Lonchura striata: one gene and its partner. The protein of the gene in region 2 purifies or fractionates together with the protein of the main gene of each other region. This does not show direct contact. Links are inferred from orthologs where the notes say so. Each region holds a gene or a part of one and is shown on either strand. Other genes may lie near its edges.

Evidence for each region.
Region 1: the proteins of MEPCE (region 2) and HNRNPUL2 purify together in Homo sapiens (affinity purification with mass spectrometry; 3 studies listed by BioGRID and IntAct, with this or other methods). This does not show direct contact. The link is inferred for Lonchura striata from reciprocal best matches to the Homo sapiens genes MEPCE and HNRNPUL2.

Annotation. Positions count from the first base shown.
Region 1 is NC_134638.1:166,671-176,478, forward strand, and holds the start of HNRNPUL2 (heterogeneous nuclear ribonucleoprotein U-like protein 2), read right to left. Parts: upstream 4,465-9,808; 5' UTR 4,341-4,464; coding exon 3,659-4,340; intron 1-3,658.
Region 2 is NC_134636.1:1,369,874-1,380,068, forward strand, and holds the start of MEPCE (7SK snRNA methylphosphate capping enzyme), read right to left. Parts: upstream 4,267-10,195; coding exon 3,196-4,266; intron 1,681-3,195; coding exon 1,462-1,680; intron 1-1,461. UniProt on the Homo sapiens protein: S-adenosyl-L-methionine-dependent methyltransferase that adds a methylphosphate cap at the 5'-end of 7SK snRNA (7SK RNA), leading to stabilize it.

The DNA of each region.
Region 1 (9,808 bases), on a different chromosome or scaffold from region 2:
AGCCCCAAACCAGCCTGGGTTAACCCAAACCAGCCTGGGTTAACCCAAACCAGCCCCAAAACAGCCCGAGTTTAACCCAAACCAGCCTTGGCCTTGTCCTCCTCCTCCTCACCTGCACGGGCAGGACAGGCGGGTTAACCCAGACCAGGCCTGGGTTAACCCAAACCAGCCCAAACCAGCCCCAAACCAGCCTGGGTTAACCCAAACCAGCCCTGGCCTTGTCCTCCTCCTCCTCACCTGCACGGGCAGGACAGGCGGGTTAACCCACACCAGGCCTGGATCAACCCAAACCAGCCTGGGTTAACCCAAACCAGCCCAAACCAGCCCAAACCAGCCCCAAAACAGCCTGGGTTAACCCAAACCAGCCCAAACCAGCCCCAAACCAGCCTGGGTTAACCCAAACCAGCCCAAACCAGCCCAAACCAGCCCCAAAACAGCCCGAGTTTAACCCAAACCAGCCCTGGCCTTGTCCTCCTCCTCCTCACCTGGACAGGCAGGACAGGCGGGTTAACCCACACCAGGCCTGGATCAACCCAAACCAGCCCAAACTAGCCCCAAACCAGCCTGGGTTAACCCAAACCACCCCAAACCAGCCCCAAAACAACCCGGGTTAACCCAGACCAGCCCCAAAACAACCCGGGTTAACCCAGACCAGCCCCAAACCAACCCGGGTTTAACCCAAACCAGCCCAAACCAGCCTGGGTTTAACCCAGACCAGCTCCAAACCAACCCGGGTTAACCCAGACCAGGCCTGGTTTAACCCAAACCAGCCCCAAAACAACCCGGGTTAACCCAAACCAGCCCCAAAGCAGGCCGGGTTTAACCCAAACCAACTGGGTTTAACCCAAACCAGCCCCAGTTTAACCCCAAAAAACCCCTGGTTTCACTCTAAAGTATCCCAGATTTCACCCCAGAAGATCCCTGATTTTATTCCAAAATATCCCTGATTTTACCCCAACACAGCCCCAAAAGATCCCTGATTTTACCCCAAAAATCCCTGATTTTACCGAATTCACCCCAAAAATATCCCAGATTTTAATGATTTAACCTCCCAAAATCCCTGATTTTACCCCAAAAATCCCTGATTTTACTGATTTCACCAATTTTACCCAAAAAAATCCCTGATTTTATCCCAAAGCATCCCCAAAAATCCCTGATTTTACTGATTTCACCCCCAAAAGATCATTATTTTACTTATTTAATCCCAAAAAATCCCTGATTTTATCCCAAGACATTCCAAAAAATCCTGATTTTACTGATTTCACCCTGAAAAAAAACCGATTTTACCCCAAAAAAGCCAATTTTACTGATTTTACAAATTTCATCCCAAAAATCCCCAATTTTACTGATTTCACTGCAAAAAATCCGTGATTTTACTGATTTCAGACCAAAAAAAATCCCTAATTTTACTGATTTCACCCCAAAATATCTCAGCTATTCCCAAGAAACCCAATTTCCTGGAAAAAAAACGGTTAAAATTCAGATGTATTTGGGTTTTTTTGTTAAAAGTTGAATTTAAACCAAATATTCCATGAGAATGGCAAAGGTTTAACGGGAATTTTTGGTTTTAGAAAGATTAAAATCTCCTCAAAGTAAATTAAATCAAAAATTCCTGGGAAATTTGGGAATTTTAACGAAATTTCAGATTTGCAGGGACAAAAACCGGTTGAAATTTCTTTTTTTCCCCCTTAAACATCAAATTAAAGCTGAGTCTTCCATTAAAATCTTGGAGCTTTAATGGATTTCTCCAGGATTTGAAGGATGAAATGCCGTTAAAATTCAGATTTTTTTCCTCAAAAATTCCTTCAATCAAAGCTTTCCATTAAGATTTTGGATTTTCCCAGTTTTTAGAGTCGTGAAAAGTGCGTAAAATTCTTATTTTTTTCCTTAAAAATGAATTAAATTTTGTGAAATTCTTGGGGTTTGAATGAATTTTCCTCAAAAAAAAGTCAAATTCCCCTGGGATTTTTCACGAAAAAGATAAAATTCCGGCTCAAAATCCATTGGTTCACTAAAAACTGGAAAATCCAAAGGAAAAAAAAAAGAAAAAATCCAACAGGAAAATCCAAGGAAACACAAAAAATTCTCAGTTTTTCCCTTTGCTTGGCCAAAAAAATCCCCAAAAATCCAACAAGTGCAAATATTCCCAGAAAATCCAAGTTATATTTTCTCAATGTCCTGCAATGGAAATTTTCCAGCTCTTATCCCAAAAAAATCAAAGTTTGGGACAAAATGCAAATAATTTCATTTTATTCCCAATAAAATTACGTCCCATGGTGATCCAAGCTCTACAAATCCTCCCCAAATCAGATTTTTCCCATCAAAAATCAGATTATTTCCTTCAAAATGAGAATTTTTTTCCTCAAATCCCAGGATTTTCCCATCAAAAATTCACTATTTTCCATCAAAAGCCAGGATTTTCCCTTTAAAAAATCCAGTTTTTTCCCTCAAAAAAATCCAGATTTTCTCTCCAAAAATCCACATTTCCCCTCAAAAATCTACATTTTCCCTCCAAAATCAGAATTTTTCCCTCCCAAAGCTGAATTTTCTCACATCCCAAATTTATCCCTTAAAAACCTGGACTTTTCCCCTCATGGTTTTCCCCAATTTCCCCAAATCCCCAATTTTTCTAGTGGGAAATGAGATTTTATCCTGATTTTATCCCAATTTTGGGTTTTTTATCCCAGTTTTCGGGATCCCTCCCGGAGCCTTTCCCGGTTTTTATCCCGATTTTTGGGGATCCCTCCCGAGCTTTGCGGGCCCCTCCCGGGGCTCCTTTCCCGGTTCTGGGGGTTTCTTATCCCGGTCCCGGGGGTCCCGTTCCCGTTCATCCCTCCCGAGGATCCCGGGGCTCCTTTCCCGGTCCCGGGGTTTCTTTTCCCGGTCCCAGAGTTTCTATCCCGGTTCTGGGGGTTCCTCTCCCGTTCCCGGGGATCGCTCCCAAGGATCCCGTTCCCGGTTCCCGGTGTTCCTTTCTCATTCTCGGGGTCCCGTTCCCGTTCATCCCTCCCGAGGATCCCGGGGCTCTTTTCCCGGTCCCGGGGCTCCTCTCCCGAGCATGCCGGGGTCTCGTTCCCGGTACCCGGGGTTCCTTTCCCGTTCCCGTTCCCGGGGATCGCTCCCGAGTCTCCCGGGGTCTCGTTCCCGGTTCCCGGTGCTCCTTTCCCGTTCCCGGGGCTCGTTTCCCATTCCCGGTTCCCTTTCCCATTCCCTGTGCTCCTTTCCCGTTCCCGGGGCTCTCGTTCCCGGGGTTCCTCTCCCGTTCCCGTTCCCGGGGTTCCTTTCCCATTCCCGGTGCTCCTCTCCCATTCCCGGGGCTCTCTCCCGAGGATCCCGGGGTCTCGTTCCCGGTTCCCGGTTCCCTTTCCCATTCCCGGGCTCTCGTTCCCGGTGTTCCTTTCCCGTTCCCGGGGATCGCTCCCAAGGCTCCCGTTCCCGTTCCCGTTGTTCCTCTCCCGTTCCCGGGGATCGCTCCCGAGGATCCCGTTCCTGTTCCCAGGGTTCCTTTCCCATTCCCGGGCTCCCGTTCCCGTTGTTCCTCTCCCGTTCCCGTTCCCGTTGTTCCTCTCCCGTTCCCGTTCCCGTTGTTCCTCTCCCGTTCCCGTTCCCGTTGTTCCTCTCCCGTTCCCGGGGCTCCCTTCCCGTCCCCGCCGCTCACCCGCCGCCTCCTCCTCCTTGGCCTCGGCCGGGGCCGCTTCATCCCCGCTGGGCGCCTCCTCGGGCGGCCGCTCGGCGCCGTTCACGCCGCCGCTTCCTCCTCCTGCTGCTGCTGCTGCTGCTGCTGCTGCTCCCGCCTCGGCCGCCGCCTCCTGCTGCTCCTGCTGCTCCTGCTGCTCCTGCGGCTCCTGCGGCTCCTGCGGCTCCGGCCCCGCGGGCTCGGCCGGGGCCGCCTCTTCCTCCTCCTCCTCCTCCTCCTCCTCCTCCTCCCGGGGGGGGCCGGCCGGGGCCGGGGCCGCCGCTTCGGGGGCCGCGCTGGCGGCGGCGGCCGCCTCGTCCTCATCGGCGAGCAGCGCTTCTTCATCCTCCTCCTCCTCCTCCTCCTCCTCCTCCTCTTCCTCCTCCTCCTCCTCCTCCTCCTCTCCGCGGGGCCGCCCGCCGGGGCCTCCGGCCGGCCCCGCTTCCCCCGCGGCGCCGCTCGAGGCGGCCGCTGCTCCTCCGCCGCCTCCTCCTCCTCCGCCGCCGCCGCCGCCGCCGCCCTCCTCGGGCCCCGCCGCCAACATCTCCGCGTCCAGCGCCTCCTGCAGCCGCTGCGCCAGCTCCACCTTCAGCCCGCGCGCGTCCAGGCCGCGCCGGCCCAGCTCGGCCCGCAGCTCGGTCACCTTCAGCCGCTTCACGTCCATGGCGGGGCCGCCGCGCGGGGAACGGGCCGGGGGGCGAGGGCACGGAGGGGAAGGGAAGCGCAAGGAGCGCGGGCGCGCCGAGGCGGCGGCGGCGGCGAGGCCGGAGCGCGAGGCCGGGCCGGGCCTGAGGCGGCCGCGGGGCGGAGACTGAGGGGAGGGCAGGGGCGGAAGGAAGGGGGCGGAGAAGGGACGGGGAGCGGGGAGCGGGAGAAGCGAGCGAGAGCGCGAGGCGGGAGCGCCGCGCGGGAGCGCCGCAGGGAGGGCAGGGGGCGGCCGGAGCGCGGAGCGATCGCCGGGCCCGTCCCGCTCCCGCCGCCGCCGCCGCCGCCGCCGCCTCAGCCGCGCCTGCGCCGCCGCCCGGCCCCTCCCGCGCCGCCTCACGGCGCAGGCGCGGCGCGTGCGCGGGAAGGGCGGCGCGCGCCGCGCGCAGGCGCCGTGCCGCGCGCCGCTCTCCCCTCCCTTTCCCCCTCGGCCCCACCTACGTGCGCAACGCTCGCTCCCGATGTGGCGGCGGCGCCTCTTCCCCTCTTCCCTTCTTGCGCCTCTTCCCCTCCCTTCCCTCCGAGCGGCCGCGCCACGCCGCTCGGATTTTCTAATTGGCCGCGGCCGCTCTGTTCTGCCCAGCGACGGCGAAAAAGCCGCGCTCCGATTGGCGGCTGAGGGTGAAGATTGGCGGGGGGGGGGGGGGGGGGCGCTCGCCTGACGCGCAGTTTCCCGCCCGCCCGCCCGCCGCCATTTTGTTTTGCTGCGTGAAGCGGGACGAGCGGGGCCGCCGGCGCGGGAAAATGGTTAAAAACGCCTAAAATACAGAAAATAAACGAGATTTATTTCGTTTAAAAACGAAACCCGGCGAGGAAGAAGCGCGGAGGCGGAGAGTGGGAGGCGTTTCCCCCAGGAAACGTGTGGCCCCCCCCGCCCGTTATCGCTGTTGTGAATTCACTGATTCATTTAATAAAACCCTTCAAACCGCCTTGTACGTTCTTTAAGCATCGTTAACACTTATTATCATTCTCGTCAAGCCCCGCTTTCACCCGGAAAGCGCCGAAATGATGGAGTTGAACCTCAGGAAGGGGCAGGCGCCGCCATTTCGCGGCGCGACGGGCGGAGCGGAGCCCCGGGGCTCCCGCGGGGCGGATCCGGTACCGAACCGGGGCCGGAGAACCGGCACGAGCCCTCAGAGCGGTCTGCATTTATTGATCTACAACAACAGAACCGGGCGGGCGCGCCGCTCCCGGAGGCGCCGAGGCTGCTGCCGCCACGGAACCGCGATTGTGATCATCTCATCTGCTGTTCACCGGCACAGGTCCCCGAGGGGTGCACCGTTCCCGGAGGCACTGCAATACCGGCACGATGCGCGGAGCGGAGGGAGCAAGCTCCGGGTCCAACTCCCGAGCCCAAAAATCCGTTTAATATGAAGTCCTCTCATCGAGGACGTATCAGATATTAAACTGATAAGAACAGATACTACACTTGATCTTAGCCAAAAGGCCGAGAAGCGATACCGGATCCCGCTCCGGCCCCGCGCCGGCCGCGCACCGGCCCCGCCCGCACCTCACGGACACCCCCGCGCCGCCGCCGCCCCGCCCGGCCCCGCTCCCGGCCGCCTTCCCCGCCCCGTCCCGCGCTTCCCTCCCGCGTTCGGCGCGTACCGGCCCCTAAAATCCCGAAAATCTCCCCAAAAAATCGTCCCAGCATGCACTGCGCGCGTGGCGACTCAGGAAATGTGCATAACCGCGCCCCTTTATGCAAATAGCATCGCATAGTGGCTTCATAGCCCCGCCCATCGCATTTTTTCCCGCCTCGCTTTGTGATTGGCCGCCCGCGCCGCTGTATGTGCATTGGCACCGCCTCCTTTCCAGCAGGCGGATGATTAGCATAACCCCGCCTTTCGTCGTTAATATGGTAATTTCGCCCGCTCATTTGCATTCTCCCCGCCGCTGCCGCCATTGGGGTCCCGCGTTCCCCTCAAGGCGCTCGGGGCTGGGCGGCAGCGGGACCCCAAAAGCCCCAAATCGGCCCCTCCTGACCCAAATCCCGAACCCCGAACCCCGAAACGGCTCCGAGCGCCCCAAAACCTGTCCCGGGTGCGTGGGGGGGGGTCGGGGACCCCTTCCAGATCCGGGGGGAGCCCGAATCCCCTCCGGGGCACCGGGGTGTCCCCGGGCTCACCGGGAGGGTGACAGGGGGTGACACCCGCGGGGTCCCGACGGGGCTGGGGGGGGATCCCCCAAATTCCATCCCTGCCCCAAACACGCGGGGGTCCCGGGGTCTGTGGGGTGCCGCCCCTCGGTTCCCCCGCGCCCGCCCCGCTCCCGGCCGCCTTCCCCGTCCCATCCCGCGCTTCCCTCCCGGGTCCGGCACCTTGCGACCCCTAAAATCCCAAAAATCTCCCAAAAAATGCTCCCAATATGCATTGCGCGGCTGTGAGGAAGTTCAGTTAATGTGCATAGCCCCGCCCCTTTATGCAAATAAACTCGCAGTGTGGTTTTATAGCCCCGCCCACTCCATTATTCCCGCCTCGCATGGTGATTGGCCGATTGCGCCGCTTTATTTGCATTGGCACCGCCTCTTTTCCAGCCGGCTGGTGATTAGCATAACCCCGCCTCTCGTCTCTAATAGGGTAATTTCGCCCGCTCATTTGCATTCCCCCCGCCGCCGCCGCTGCCGCCATTGGGGTCCCGCGTTCCCCTCAAGGCGCTCGGGGCTGGGCGGCAGCGGGACCCCAAAAGCCCCAAATCGGCCCCTCCTGACCCAAATCCCGAACCCCGAACCCCGAAACGGCTCCGAGCGCCCCAAAACCTGTCCCGAGTGCGTGTGGGGGGGTCGGGGACCCCTCCCAGATCCGGGGGGAGCCCGAATCCCCCCCGGGGCACCGGGGTGTCCCCGGGCTCACCGGGAGGGTGACAGGCGGTGACACCCGCGGGGTCCCGACGGGGCTGGGGGGGATCCCCCAAATTCCACTCCTGCCCAAAACACGCGGGGGTCCCGGGGTCTGTGGGGTGCCGCCCCTCGGTTCCCCGGGATGTCCCCGTCGGCTGGGGGTGACACCAAGGGACAATCGCGATGGAATCACGATCGTGAGTTTCCACCGTGTGACGCTCCCGGCGGGCGCGCCGCTCCCGGAGGCGCCGCGATCCCGGGACGCTGCGGCTGCTGCCGCCGCAGAGCCGCGCCCGAAGCATCTCCTCATCTGCTGTTCACCGTCACAGGTCCCCGAGGGGTGCACCGTTCCCGGAGGCACTGCAATACCGGCACGATGCGCGGAGCGGAGGGAGCAAGCTCCGGGTCCAACTCCCGAGCCCAAAAATCCGTTTAATATGAAGTCCTCTCATCGAGGACGTATCAGATATTAAACTGATAAGAACAGATACTACACTTGATCTTAGCCAAAAGGCCGAGAAGCGATACCGGACCCCGCCCCGGCCCCGCGCCGGACCCGCACCGGCCCCGCCCGCACCTCACGGACACCCCCGCGCCGCCGCCGCCCCGCCCGGCCCCGCTCCCGGCCGCCTTCCCCGCCCCGTCCCGCGCTTCCCTCCCGCGCTTCTCACACACGGACCCCTAAAATCCCGAAAATCTCCCCAAATTTATGCTCCCATGATGCTCTTGGCTGAACATTGTGATTAATTTGCATTGTCCCGCCTTTTCAATTTACATAACACCGCCTTTCACCTGCGCTTAGAAGCCCCGCCCCACCGCGTTCCTCTGGTGATGTGATTGGACGATCGAGCACCTCGATTTGCATGCCATGCGCCTTATTTGCCATGACGCCAACGCAATTAGCATAACCTTAAGCTACGTCATGTGCAATTAGCATATAAGCATTCTCATTTGCATAGAACACCCCAGCAGGTCCCCACGGTGACGCCGCGGGTTTGGGGGAGCTTTGGGAGGCTCCCCTCCATGCCCGGGGGGTTTTGGGGCACAGGAGACCTGGAAATTATCAAAATCATCCAAAAAATGAGTTTAAATTCGGAATTTTGGCTTCCTGAGATGTTTTTGTAGCCTTTAAAAGCATAGAGGGGCTCAGGTGTGACCCCCCTCCGCAATTCCCTCACCCTCAGTCCCTCCTCCCCAAATAAGAAACAAGCAGAAATTCAATGTTTTTAACAAAAATAGCAGTTTTTATTTATGTTGGTAGAACTTCCACGATCCAAGAACTGCAGGAAGAAATTCAAGGGTTAAAAGGTTTCAAACTCCTCAAAAATCACCCAAAATCTGTTCCGAACCCAGGAGACCCCCAAGCCCCCATTGGGACCCCCCAAAACCCCCGGGGTCCCCCAGAGCCTCAGGGGGAACCACTCAGTCACAGGGCTCAGTCTGGGGCGGTATCGCCTCATCCTCGGCAGGGAGACCCCAAAAACACCCCAAATCTCTCCTAAATCCCAAAATCCTGTCCCCCAAATCCCTCCTGCCAAACCCCCAGAGGCCCCTCACCATCCCAAAATCCTTTCCTCAAAACTCCCCCCAAATCTTCTCCCCAAACCTCAAAGTTCCTCACCACAACGTCTTCTCTTCACAGCCCCAAATCCTTTCTCCACTCTCCAAAATCCCTCTCCACACCCTAAATCGACTCTCAAAATCCCAAATCTCCTCCCCAAACCTCAAAATGGTTTTGTAAATCCCAAATCCCTTCCCCACAAAATAGAATTTGAAACCCACACCCCAAATCCGCTCTCCAAAGCTCAAAATCTGAAATCCCAAATCCCTCCCAACACCCCAAATCTCCTCCCCGCTCCCCAAAATCCCCCCCAGGCTCACCTGAGCCCCGCTCCTGCCGCACCTGTGGGACAGCAGGGGGGGAGGGGCTTTAGGGCGCCCCCTCCCCCCCAGGACCCCCCCGGGGACCCCCACCCCAATTTTTCAGGTGTTCAGGTGTTTTCAGGGGGGTCAAAGTGAGCTAGTGACATCATCACCAAAACTGGGGCTGTGATGTCATGGGTCAGGCCACACCCCCTCATTTACATACCTGGCTCCAGGTGTGTCCTGGGATTGTCACCTGCAGGGAGGGAACACAAGGGGGGTCAGGGGGGTCCTCGGGGAATTTGGGGACCCCATAAGGGGGAAAAGCCCCCCCCGGTCAGGCCTGGGGTTGTCAGCAGCAGCTTCAGCCGAACGAGATTCATGAGGTCATCACCCCTGGGGGGCCTCCACACCCCAAAATCACCAGGAAAGCCCCAAATTTACCCCAAATCGTCCCTGCAGGGGTCACCCCAATGGGGGTCCCAGCCCAGGGACCCCCACCCCAGTGAACAATTCCCCCTCCAGGTGAGGATTTACCTGGGATCTTCTCAGGATTCACAGACTGGCTCCAAAACCCCCCAAATTCCCCTCTGGGGGTTGGGGTCCCCCATCTATGGACCCCCGAGGGGGCAGGACTGGGTTGGACCCTGGAACGGAAACAGGGGAGGGTCAGTGTTGAGTTCTGACACCCAAAATCCCACAGAATCCCCCCAAAGCCCTGCAGG
Region 2 (10,195 bases):
AACGAGACCCCCAAACCCAGCCCTGATCCCCCCCACACCCAAAACGAGACCCCCAATCCAGCCCTGAACACCCCCAGACCCAAAACGAGACCCCCAAACCCAGCCCTGATCCCCCCCAGACCCAAAACGAGACCCCCAATCCAGCCCTGAACCCCCCTGGACCCCCAGGGATTTAAAACGAGACCCCCAAACCCAGCCCTGAACCCCCCCAGACCCAAAACGAGACCCCCAAATCCAGCCCTAGACCCCCCCGGCCCACCTGAGCCCGAGGTGGCAGCGTTTAACCCCACAAAAACACTTTTTTTTGGGTTTTAACCCCTCAAAAAACACATTTCTGGCACCAAACCCTGCTGGGAGTCCCACCAGACTTCTCTAACCCCACCACAACACCCCAAACCCCGCTGACACCCCCAAAACGCCATTTCTGGCACCAAACTCTGCTGAGAATCCCTCCAAACTGTATTTTTTGGGCTTTTAACCCAACAAAAAAGCATTTTCTGGGGTTTTAACCCCCCAAAAACGCATTTCCAGCACCAAACTCTGCTGAGTGTCCCTCCAAAAACCATTTTTTGGGGTTTTAAATCCCCATAATTCAATTTCTGGCCCCAAGCTCTGGTGAGAGTCCCTCCAAACACCATTTTTTGATGTTTCAACCTGCCAAAAACGCCGTTTCTGGCCCCAAACTCTCCAGACGTCCCCACAGACCCCTTCATAACCCCCCAGAGACCCCCTCCCTGAGCCCCATGGAGCCCCCCAAAGTCCCATGGAGCCCCCCAGAGCCCTGTGGAGCCCCCAGACCCCATCCCTGAGACCCCCTGAGCCCCCCAAAGCCCCCCCAGAGCCCCGTGGAGCCCCCCAGAGCCCCCCCAGAGTCCCATGGAGCCCCTCAGAGCCCCCAGACCCCATCCCTGAGACCCCCAGAGCCCCGTGGAGCCCCCAAGAGCCCCCAAACCCCATCCCTGAGACCCCCAAAGCCCCCCCAGAGCCCCGTGGAGCCCCTCAAGAGCCCCCAAACCCCATCCCTGAGCCCCACGGAGCCCTCCAAAGCCCCCCCAGAGTCCCATGGAGCCCCCAGACCCCATCCCTGAGACCCCCTGAGCCCTCCAAAGACTCACCAGAGCCCCGTGGAGCCCCCCAAAGCCCCCCCAGAGTCCCCTGGAGCCCCTCAGAGCCCCCAGACCCCATCCCTGAGCCCCACGGAGCCCCCCAAAGCCCCCCCAGAGTCCCATGGAGTCCCCAAACCCCATCCCTGAGACCCCCAGAGCCCCGTGGAGCCCCTCAGAGCCCCCAAACCCCATCCCTGAGCCCCCCACTCACCGTCAGCCCCTTGCGCTTGTGGCAGGACTCCCAGGGCTGCGGCTCCAGCAGCAGCAGGAGCCCCCCAAAGCCCCCCCAGAGCCCCGTGGAGCCCCTCAGAGCCCCCAAACCCCATCCCTGAGCCCCCCAGAGCCCCCCACTCACCGTCAGCCCCTTGCGCTTGCGGTAGGACTCCCAGGGCTGCGGCTCCAGCAGCAGCAGCCCGCCGGGCCGCAGGTGCCGGAACGCCCTCCGGAAGAGCCGCTTGAGCCCCTCGTCGCCCCAGTTGAGCTGCACCCACTTGGTGAGGGACAGCAGCAGCACCACGTCGAACTCGGGGCGCTGCGCCCCCACCACCTCCTCCCGCTCCGGCACGTAGTTCCCCTGCGGAGGGGTGGGCTCAGCCTGGGGCTGGGGGCAGCCCCGGGGGGGTTTGGGGGGTCTGACAGGGTGGGGGGCTCGGGGTCAGCCCCACTGAGGAGGTTTTGGGGGTCTGACAGGGTGGGGGGCTCGGGGTCAGCCCCACTGAGGGGTTTTGGGGGGTCTGAGGGGGTGGGGGGCTCGGGGTCAGCCCCTCTTGGGGGGTTTGGGGGTGTCTGAGGGGGTGGGGGGCTCGGGCTGTGCCCCACTGAGGAGGTTTGGGGGGGTCTGAGGGGCTCGGGGTCAGCCCCACTGAGGGGTTTTGGGGGTGTCTGAGGGGGTGGGGGGCTTGGGCTGTGCCCCACTGAGGAGGTTTGGGGGGTCTGACAGGGTGGGGGGCTCGGGGTCAGCCCCACTGAAGAGGTTTGGGGGGTCTGACAGGGTGGGGGGCTCGGGGTCAGCCCCACTGAAGAGGTTTGGGGGGTCTGACAGGGTGGGGGGCTCGGGGGCAGCCCCACTGAGGGGTTTTGGGGGTCTGACAGGGTGGGGGGCTCGGGCTGTGCCCCACTGTGGGGTTTTGGGGGGTCTGACAGGGTGGGGGGCTCGGGGGCAGCCCCACTGAGGGGTTTTGGGGGGTCTGAGGGAGTGGGGGGCTCGGGGTCAGCCCCTCTTGGGGGGTTTGGGGGTGTCTGAGGGGGTGGGGGGCTCGGGCTGTGCCCCACTGAGGAGGTTTTGGGGGTGTCTGAGGGGGTGGGGGGCTTGGGCTGTGCCCCACTGAGGAGGTTTGGGGGGTCTGACAGGGTGGGGGGCTCGGGGTCAGCCCCACTGAGGAGGTTTGGGGGGTCTGACAGGGTGGGGGGCTCGGGGGCAGCCCCTCTGGGGGGGTTTGGGGGGTCTGACAGGGTGGGGGGATCGGGGGCAGCCCCACTGAGGAGGTTTTGGGGGGTCTGACAGGGTGGGGGGCTCGGGCTGTGCCCCACTGAGGGGTTTTGGGGGGTCTGACAGGGTGGGGGGCTCGGGGTCAGCCCCACTGAGGGGTTTTGGGGGGTCTGACAGGGTGGGGGGCTCGGGGTCAGCCCCACTGAGGGGTTTTGGGGGGAGCTGCCCCACACAGACCCCAAGACTGGAATTGGGGAGGGGGTCCTGCACCACTCTGATCTCCTGGTGACCCCTTCAGACCCACCGAGACCCCCCAAAAACATCCCTGACGTCCCTTTCACAGCCTCCAAGACCTCCCAAAACCCCCCAAACCCCCACACACCCCCTCAGACCCGCCCAGACCCCCCTAAAACATCCCTCATGTCCCTTTCAGACTCTCCAAGACTCCCCAAATCCCCTCCAAGCCCCCCCAAATGCTTGTCACTCCCTTAACGCCACCGAGACCCCCCTAAAACACACCAAAAACCCACCAAAATCCCTTGCCAACCCCCTCAGAGCGACCCAGACCCCCCCCAAACCCACACCAAAACCCTGCTCGCACCCCCCAGCACCTCGCCCACCCACCCCACCCCCGTTTCCCCACCCAAAACCCCCCCTCACCGTGACGAACACCACGTTGTGCGGGAAATCCGCGGCGCCGGGCCCGTCGGGCGGCAGCTGCGGGGCGGCGATGGGGCCCCGGCTGGCCAGGAGCGCGGCGGGGAAACCTTTCCTGAGCCCGGCGGCGGCCTCGCCGTCCGCCCCCAGCCCCTCGGAGAGGTAGTGGCGGATGTTCTGCCGCGCCGAGCGGATCAGCCGCCCGTCAATGTCCAGCCCCACCACCCTGGCGGGCGCCCAGCGCTTGGCGATGCTCAGGGTGAGGTGCCCCACGTTGCAGCCCACGTCCAGCACCTCCTTGCCCGCGAACCACTCGGGCCGCAGCGCCCGCAGCCGCGCGTCCTCCACGTCGGGGTTGCGGTACCCGTAATATTTGCAGTAATTCCCGTACTGGAACTTGCGCGCCTGGCGGCGCGGCCGCTGCGGGGCTTTGCCGCCGGGTTTCGGTTTTTCCGAGGGCGCGGCGGGGCGCGGAGGGTCGGATTTGCTGCAAGTCCGTCGGCGCTTGCGGTGGCGGCCGGCGGGGCACGGCGGGGCGGCGGGCTCGGCGGGGCGGCCGGGCTCCTCGGCGCCGGCGGCGCTGTTGGCGGCGTTGTTGCGCTGCTGGCCGCGGTGCCGGTGCCGCCGCCGGGCGCTCTTGGCCGGCGAGGCCAGGCGGAGCGCCTCGCCCGGCGCGTTCAGGCTCAGCGGGTCCGTGATGTCCCTCGGCACCAGGATCTCCACCGGGTCCCGGCCGCGCTGCGGCAGCGGGGAGGACTGCGGCGTGCGGGCGTTCAGGGCGCGGCTCACCTCCTCGTCCAGCAGGCTGTTGAGGTTCAGGGGGTCGAAGATGTTCCCGCCGAGCAGGAACTCGGACGGCAGCACCGGGCCGCACTCCGAGGCCGCGCGGCGCCGCCGCTTCCACGCCGGCTGCTTGGCGCCGCAGCTGCTCCGCCGCTTGCCGCCGCCGCCCGCGGTGCGGAGGCCATTGCGGGGCCGCGGCGGCTCCGGTGCGGCGGCGGCGGGAGGAGGAGGAGGAGGCGGAGGAGGCGGCGGCGGCGGCGGCACCAGGAAGGCCTCAGGCGCCGCCGCCATGGCGGCCCGGCCCGCGCCTGCGCGCTGCGCCGCGCCGCCCCCGCGCATGCGCCGCCGGAGCGGGGAGGGGGAGCGGGAACCCTCCGCTCCCGCCGCCTCCCGCCCGCGATGGCAGCGCCGCGCCGGCCCGCCGGGGTTTATATAGGGGAGAGGCGGGGCCCGCAGAGGGCACGCCCACGAGGAGGGGCGGGGAGACGGGGCTCGGCCAATAGGAGACGGAGCGCGGCGCGCGGCGGCCAATAAGGAGAGGCGGCGCGCGGGGAGAGGGAAAGGGGGGCCTCAGGAGGTGGGGGTGGCCGCGGAGAGTGCCTGCGCGGAGAGCAGCGGGGGAGGGGAGGAGGAGGGAGCGGGAGGGATCCCGGTGAAGGCCTGGGGGGAGGGAGAGCGGCGGGGATGGGACGGGGGAGGGTGGGCGGCCGGAAAGACGTTCAGGCGGGGTGAGGCCGCCCCGCGCGCGCGGGGGCTGCCGGGACTTGTAGTCCGCGCGGGGGCCGCTCGTGCGCGGTGCGCGCTCCTTCTCCCCACACCCACACAGACACACAGAGCCCCTCCCGTTCCAGCGCCGGTCTCTCCTCGGCCCCTTTCGGCCGAGCTGCTCACGTCACCGTTCACGCTCGTGACGTCACCGTTCCCGTTAGTGACGTCACCGAACCGGGTCTCTCTCTCCCCGCCCCACCCGCCCCGGTAACGGGGAGGGGGCGCGCGCGCTCTCGCGCGGCTCTCGCGAGGTTTCGAGCCCCCCCAGCGCCCGTCCCGCGCGCCCCTCGCCGGTCACGCGCCCGCGCGCCTGCGCGGTACCGCCCCCCCCCCCCCCCCCCCCCGTCCCGGCACGTGCCGCGCGCGCGCCTCGCCCCCCCCCCCCCCCCCCCGGGACCCCTCACGCGGGTCACGTGACCGGGCGCGCGGGAAGAGCCGCTCTTTATTTTTTATTTTTTATTGTATTTTATTTTATTGGGTTTTTTTGGGGGGGGGAGGGAGGCGCTAAAAACGCCGAAATCGGGGCACGAACCCCGCCCACAGCGACCCCCGCCACCCACGCACGGGCCCCCCCACCCAGCCCCTCATGAAGGGGTCTGGGGTCCTCCTCACGAAGGGTTTTGGGGTCCCCCTCAAGATGGGGTTTGGGGTCCCCCTCATGAAGGGGGTTTGGGGTCCCCTCAGCCCCTCTCGATGGGGTTTTGGGGTCCCCTTCACCCCCTCATGAAGGGGTTTGGGGTCCCCCTCATGATGGGGTTTGGGGTCCCCCTCATGAAGGGGTTTTGGGGTCCCCATCACCCCCTCATGAAGGATTTTGGGGTCCCCTCAGCCCCTCAAGATGGGGTTTTGGGGTCCCCATCACCCCCCCATGATGGGGTTTGGGGTCCCCCTCATGATGGGGTTTTGGGGTCCCCTCAGCCCCTCACGATGGGTTCTGGGTCCCCTCAGCCCCTCATGAAGGACTTTGGGGTCCCCTCAGCCCCTCTCGATGGGGTTTTGGGGTCCCCATCACCCCCTCATGAAGGGTTTTGGGGTCCCCCTCATGATGGGGTTTGGGGTCCCCCTCATGATGGGGTTTTGGGGTCCCCTCAGCCCCTCTCGATGGGTTCTGGGTCCCCTCAGGGACACTTGCGCTCCACGCACTGCTTGCCGCCCTCCTCGTACTCCTGCTTGGAGATCCACATCTGCTGGAAGGTGCCCTGCGATTTGGGGCGGTTTGGGGTGATTTGGGGTGGTTTGGGATGGTTTGGGGGGTTCAGAGGCAGTTTGGGGGGTTCAGGGGGCGGTTTGGGGTGATTTGGGGCAGATTGGGGCAATTCAGGGTGTTCAGGAGGCAGTTTGGGGTGGTTTGGGGCAGTTTGGGGTGTTCATGGGGCACTTTGAGGTGGTTTGGGGCGGTTTGGGGGGTTCAGGGGATGGTTTGGGGCGGTTTGGGGGGTTCAGGGGGCAGTTTGGGGGGTTCAGGGGGCAGTTTGCGGCAGTTTGGGGGGTTCAGGGGATGGTTTGGGGCAGTTTGGGGGGTTCAGGGGGCAGTTTGGGGGGTTCAGGGGATGGTTTGGGGCAGTTTGGGGAGTTCAGGGGATGGTTTGGGGGGTTCAGGGGATGGTTTGGGGGGTTCAGGGGGCAGTTTGGGGGGTTCAGGGGATGGTTTCGGGGGTTCAGGGGATGGTTTGGGGGGTTCAGGGGGCAGTTTGGGGGATTCAGGGGATGGTTTGGGGCAGTTTGGGGGGTTCAGGGGATGGTTTGGGGGGTTCAGGGGATGGTTTGGGGGGTTCAGGGGATGGTTTGGGGCAGTTTGGGGGTTCAGGGGCAGCGAAGCCCCCCGGGCTCCCCGGGACCCCCGACTCACGAGCGAGGCCAGGATGGAGCCGCCGATCCAGGGGCTGAAGCGCCGCTCCATGGTGCTGTTGCTGGCGATCAGCTTGAGGCGCATGCTCTGGGACAGGGCGTCACTGGGAGCACTGGGAGAACTGGGAGAACTGGGGGCAACTGGGGGGACAGCTATGAACCACTGGGAGCCACTGGGAATGACTGGAGGGACAGCTATGAACCACTGGGGGCAACTGGGAATGACTGGGGGGACAGCTATGAACCACTGGGGGCAACTGGGAATGACTGGGAGCCACTGGGAATGACTGGAGGGACAGCTATGAACCACTGGGGGCAACTGGGAATGACTGGGAGCAACTGGGGGGACAGCTATGAACCACTGGGAGCCACTGGGAATGACTGGGAGCAACTGGGGGGACAGCTATGAACCACTGGGAGCAACTGGAATGACTGGGAGCAACTGGGGGGGACAGCTATGAACCACTGGGGGCAACTGGGAATGACTGGAGGGACAGCTATGAACCACTGGGAGCAACTGGAATGACTGGGAGCAACTGGGGGGGACAGCTATGAACCACTGGGGGCAACTGGGAATGACTGGAGGGACAGCTATGAACCACTGGGGGCAACTGGGAATGACTGGGAGCAACTGGGAATGACTGGGGGGACAGCTATGAACCGCTGGGAGGAACTAGGAATTACTGGGAGCAACTGGGAATGACTGGGAACAACTGGGGGGACAGCTATGAACCACTGGGGGCAACTGGGAATTACTGGGGGGACAGCTATGAACCACTGGGGGCAACTGGGAATGACTGGGGGCAACTGGGAATGACTGACAGCAACTGGGAATGACTGGGAATGACTGGGGGGACAGCTATGAACCACTGGGGGCAACTGGGAATGACTGGGGGCAACTGGGAATGACTGACAGCAACTGGGAATACTGGGAACAACTGGGGGGACAGCTATGAACCACTGGGGGCAACTGGGGAGCACTGGGAGAACTGGGGGCAACTGGGAGAACTGGGGGGACAGCTATGAACCACTGGTCCCAAACTCGGGGGTCCCTCACGGGGGGGTTTGGGGTCCCCCAGCCCCCAGCCCCAATTCGGGTCCCTCACTGGGGGTTTGGGAGCCCCCAGCCCCAATTCGGGTCCCTCACCGGGGGGTTTGGGAGCCCCCAGCCCCCAGCCCCAATTCGGGTGCCTCACCGGGGGGTTTGGGAGCCCCCAGCCCCCAGCCCCAATTCGGGTGCCTCACCGGGGGGTTTGGGAGCCCCCAGCCCCCAGCCCCAATTCGGGTGCCTCACCGGGGGCGTTTTCTGGGCCAGCTCGCGGTTCAGGCGGTCGGTGAAGCCCTGCAGCAGCGTGTTCCCCCCGGTGACAATGACGCTGCCGTACAGCCCCTGGGGGGGACACGGACACGGGGGGTCACCCGCGGGATTCGGGGGTGTCCCCGCCGCCCCCCGGGACCCCCGGGACCCCCGCCCGGACCCACCGGCCGGATGTCGATGTCGCACATCCCGATGCTGGTGGTCACCACGTGCCCCACGCCCAGCATGGTGTTCCCCGAGAGGCCCTGGGGGAACGGGGGGGTCAGGGGGGTCCCCAAAACCCCCGGGACCCCCCTGGACCTCCCTAAACCCCCCAAAAACCCTGGGATCCCCTCTGGGACCTCCCTAACCCCCCCAAAAACCCCCGGGACCCCCCTGATCCCCCCCAAAAACCCCCGGGACCCCCTGATCCCCCCCAAAAACCCCCGGGATCCCCCTGATCCCCCCAAAAACCCCCGGGACCCCCTGATCCCCCCCAAAAACCCCCGGGATCCCCCTGATCCCCCCCAAAAACCCCCGGGACCCCATGATCCCCCCCAAAAACCCCCGAGACCCCCTGATCCCCCCCAAAAACCCCGCTGAGAACCCTCAAACCCAAAGGAAGGCAGAACCTGGGGCGTGGGGGTCCCCTAAAGCCCCCCAGGACCCCCAAAACCCCCTCAGAGCCCCCCCAGGACCCCCAAAACCCCCTCAGAGCCCCCCCAGGACCCCCAAAACCCCCTCAGAGCCCCCCCAGGACCCCCAAAACCCCCTCAGAGCCCCCCCCAGGACCCCCCAAACCCCCTCAGAGCCCTCCCAGGACCCCCAAACCCCCTCAGAGGACCCCAAAACCCCCTCAGAGCCCCCCAGGACCCCTCAAAACCCCCTCAGAGCCCCCCCAGGACCCCCAAACCCCCTCAGAGGACCCCCAAACCCCCTCAGAGCCCCCCCAGGACCCCCAAACCCCCTCAGAGGACCCCAAAACCCCCTCAGAGCCCCCCCAGGACCCCCAAACCCCCTCAGAGGACCCCCAAACCCCCTCAGAGCCCCCCAGGACCCCCAAAACCCCCTCAGAGCCCCCCCAGGACCCCCCAAACCCCCTCAGAGCCCTCCCAGGACCCCCAAACCCCCTCAGAGGACCCCAAAACCCCCTCAGAGCCCCCCCAGGACCCCTCAAAACCCCCTCAGAGCCCCCCCAGGACCCCCAAACCCCCTCAGAGGACCCCCAAACCCCCTCAGAGCCCCCCCAGGACCCCCAAACCCCCTCAGAGGACCCCAAAACCCCCTCAGAGCCCCCCCAGGACCCCCAAACCCCCTCAGAGGACCCCCAAACCCCCTCAGAGCCCCCCCAGGACCCCCAAAACCCCCTCAGAGCCCCCCCAGGACCCCCCAAACCCCCTCAGTGGACCCCCAAAACCCCCTCAGAGCCCCCCCAGGACCCCCAAACCCCCTCAGAGGACCCCCAAACCCCCTCAGAGCCCCCCCAGGACCCCCAAACCCCCTCAGAGCCCCTCCCAGGACCCCCAAACCCCCTCAGTGGACCCCAAAACCCCCTCAGAGCCCCCCCAGGACCCCCAAACCCCCCCGGGACCCCCGAACCTTGACGTTGGAGGGGTCGAAGAGCCCCTCGGGGATGCGGAGCCGCTCGGCGCCGTAGTCGGTGTTGTACCCGTTGGGCATCTCGTAGTGCACCGTGGGCATCTGCGCCGCCACCCTGGGGGACACGGGCGGGTTTCGGGGTCCCCCCGCCCCAAAAAAACCCCCTCACCCCAAAAAAACCCCCCCAAAGCCCCGGCGCTCACTGCTCGTCGTAGGGCGAGTCCGACACCTGCAGCACCGAGGCCTGGAAGTCCTGGATCACCTCCTGGGGGAACGGCAGCCCAAAAAGGGGGTCGGGACCCCCAAATCCCCCTCGGGACCCCCCGAAATCCCCCCCGGGACCCCCAGATCCGCCCCCGGGCCCCCCGCTCACGTTGCAGGTGAAGTTGTGCCAGGATTTGGACACCTGGGGCAGCTTCTCCTTCTTCTTCCAGCTCGGGGGGGCCCCTTCCCGCACGGGCTCCTGGAAAAGGGGCGGGGCTGGGGCTGAATAATTAAAGGGGCGGGGCTGGGGATGAATAATTAAAGGGGCGGGGCTGAATAACGAAAGGGGCGGGGCTGGGGATGAATAATTAAAGGGGCGGGGCTGGGGGTGAATAATGAAAGGGGCGGGGCTTGGGATGAATAATTAAACGGGCGGGGCTGGGGATGAATAATTAAAGGGGCGGGGCTGGGGATGAATAATTAAAGGGGCGGGGCTGGGGATGA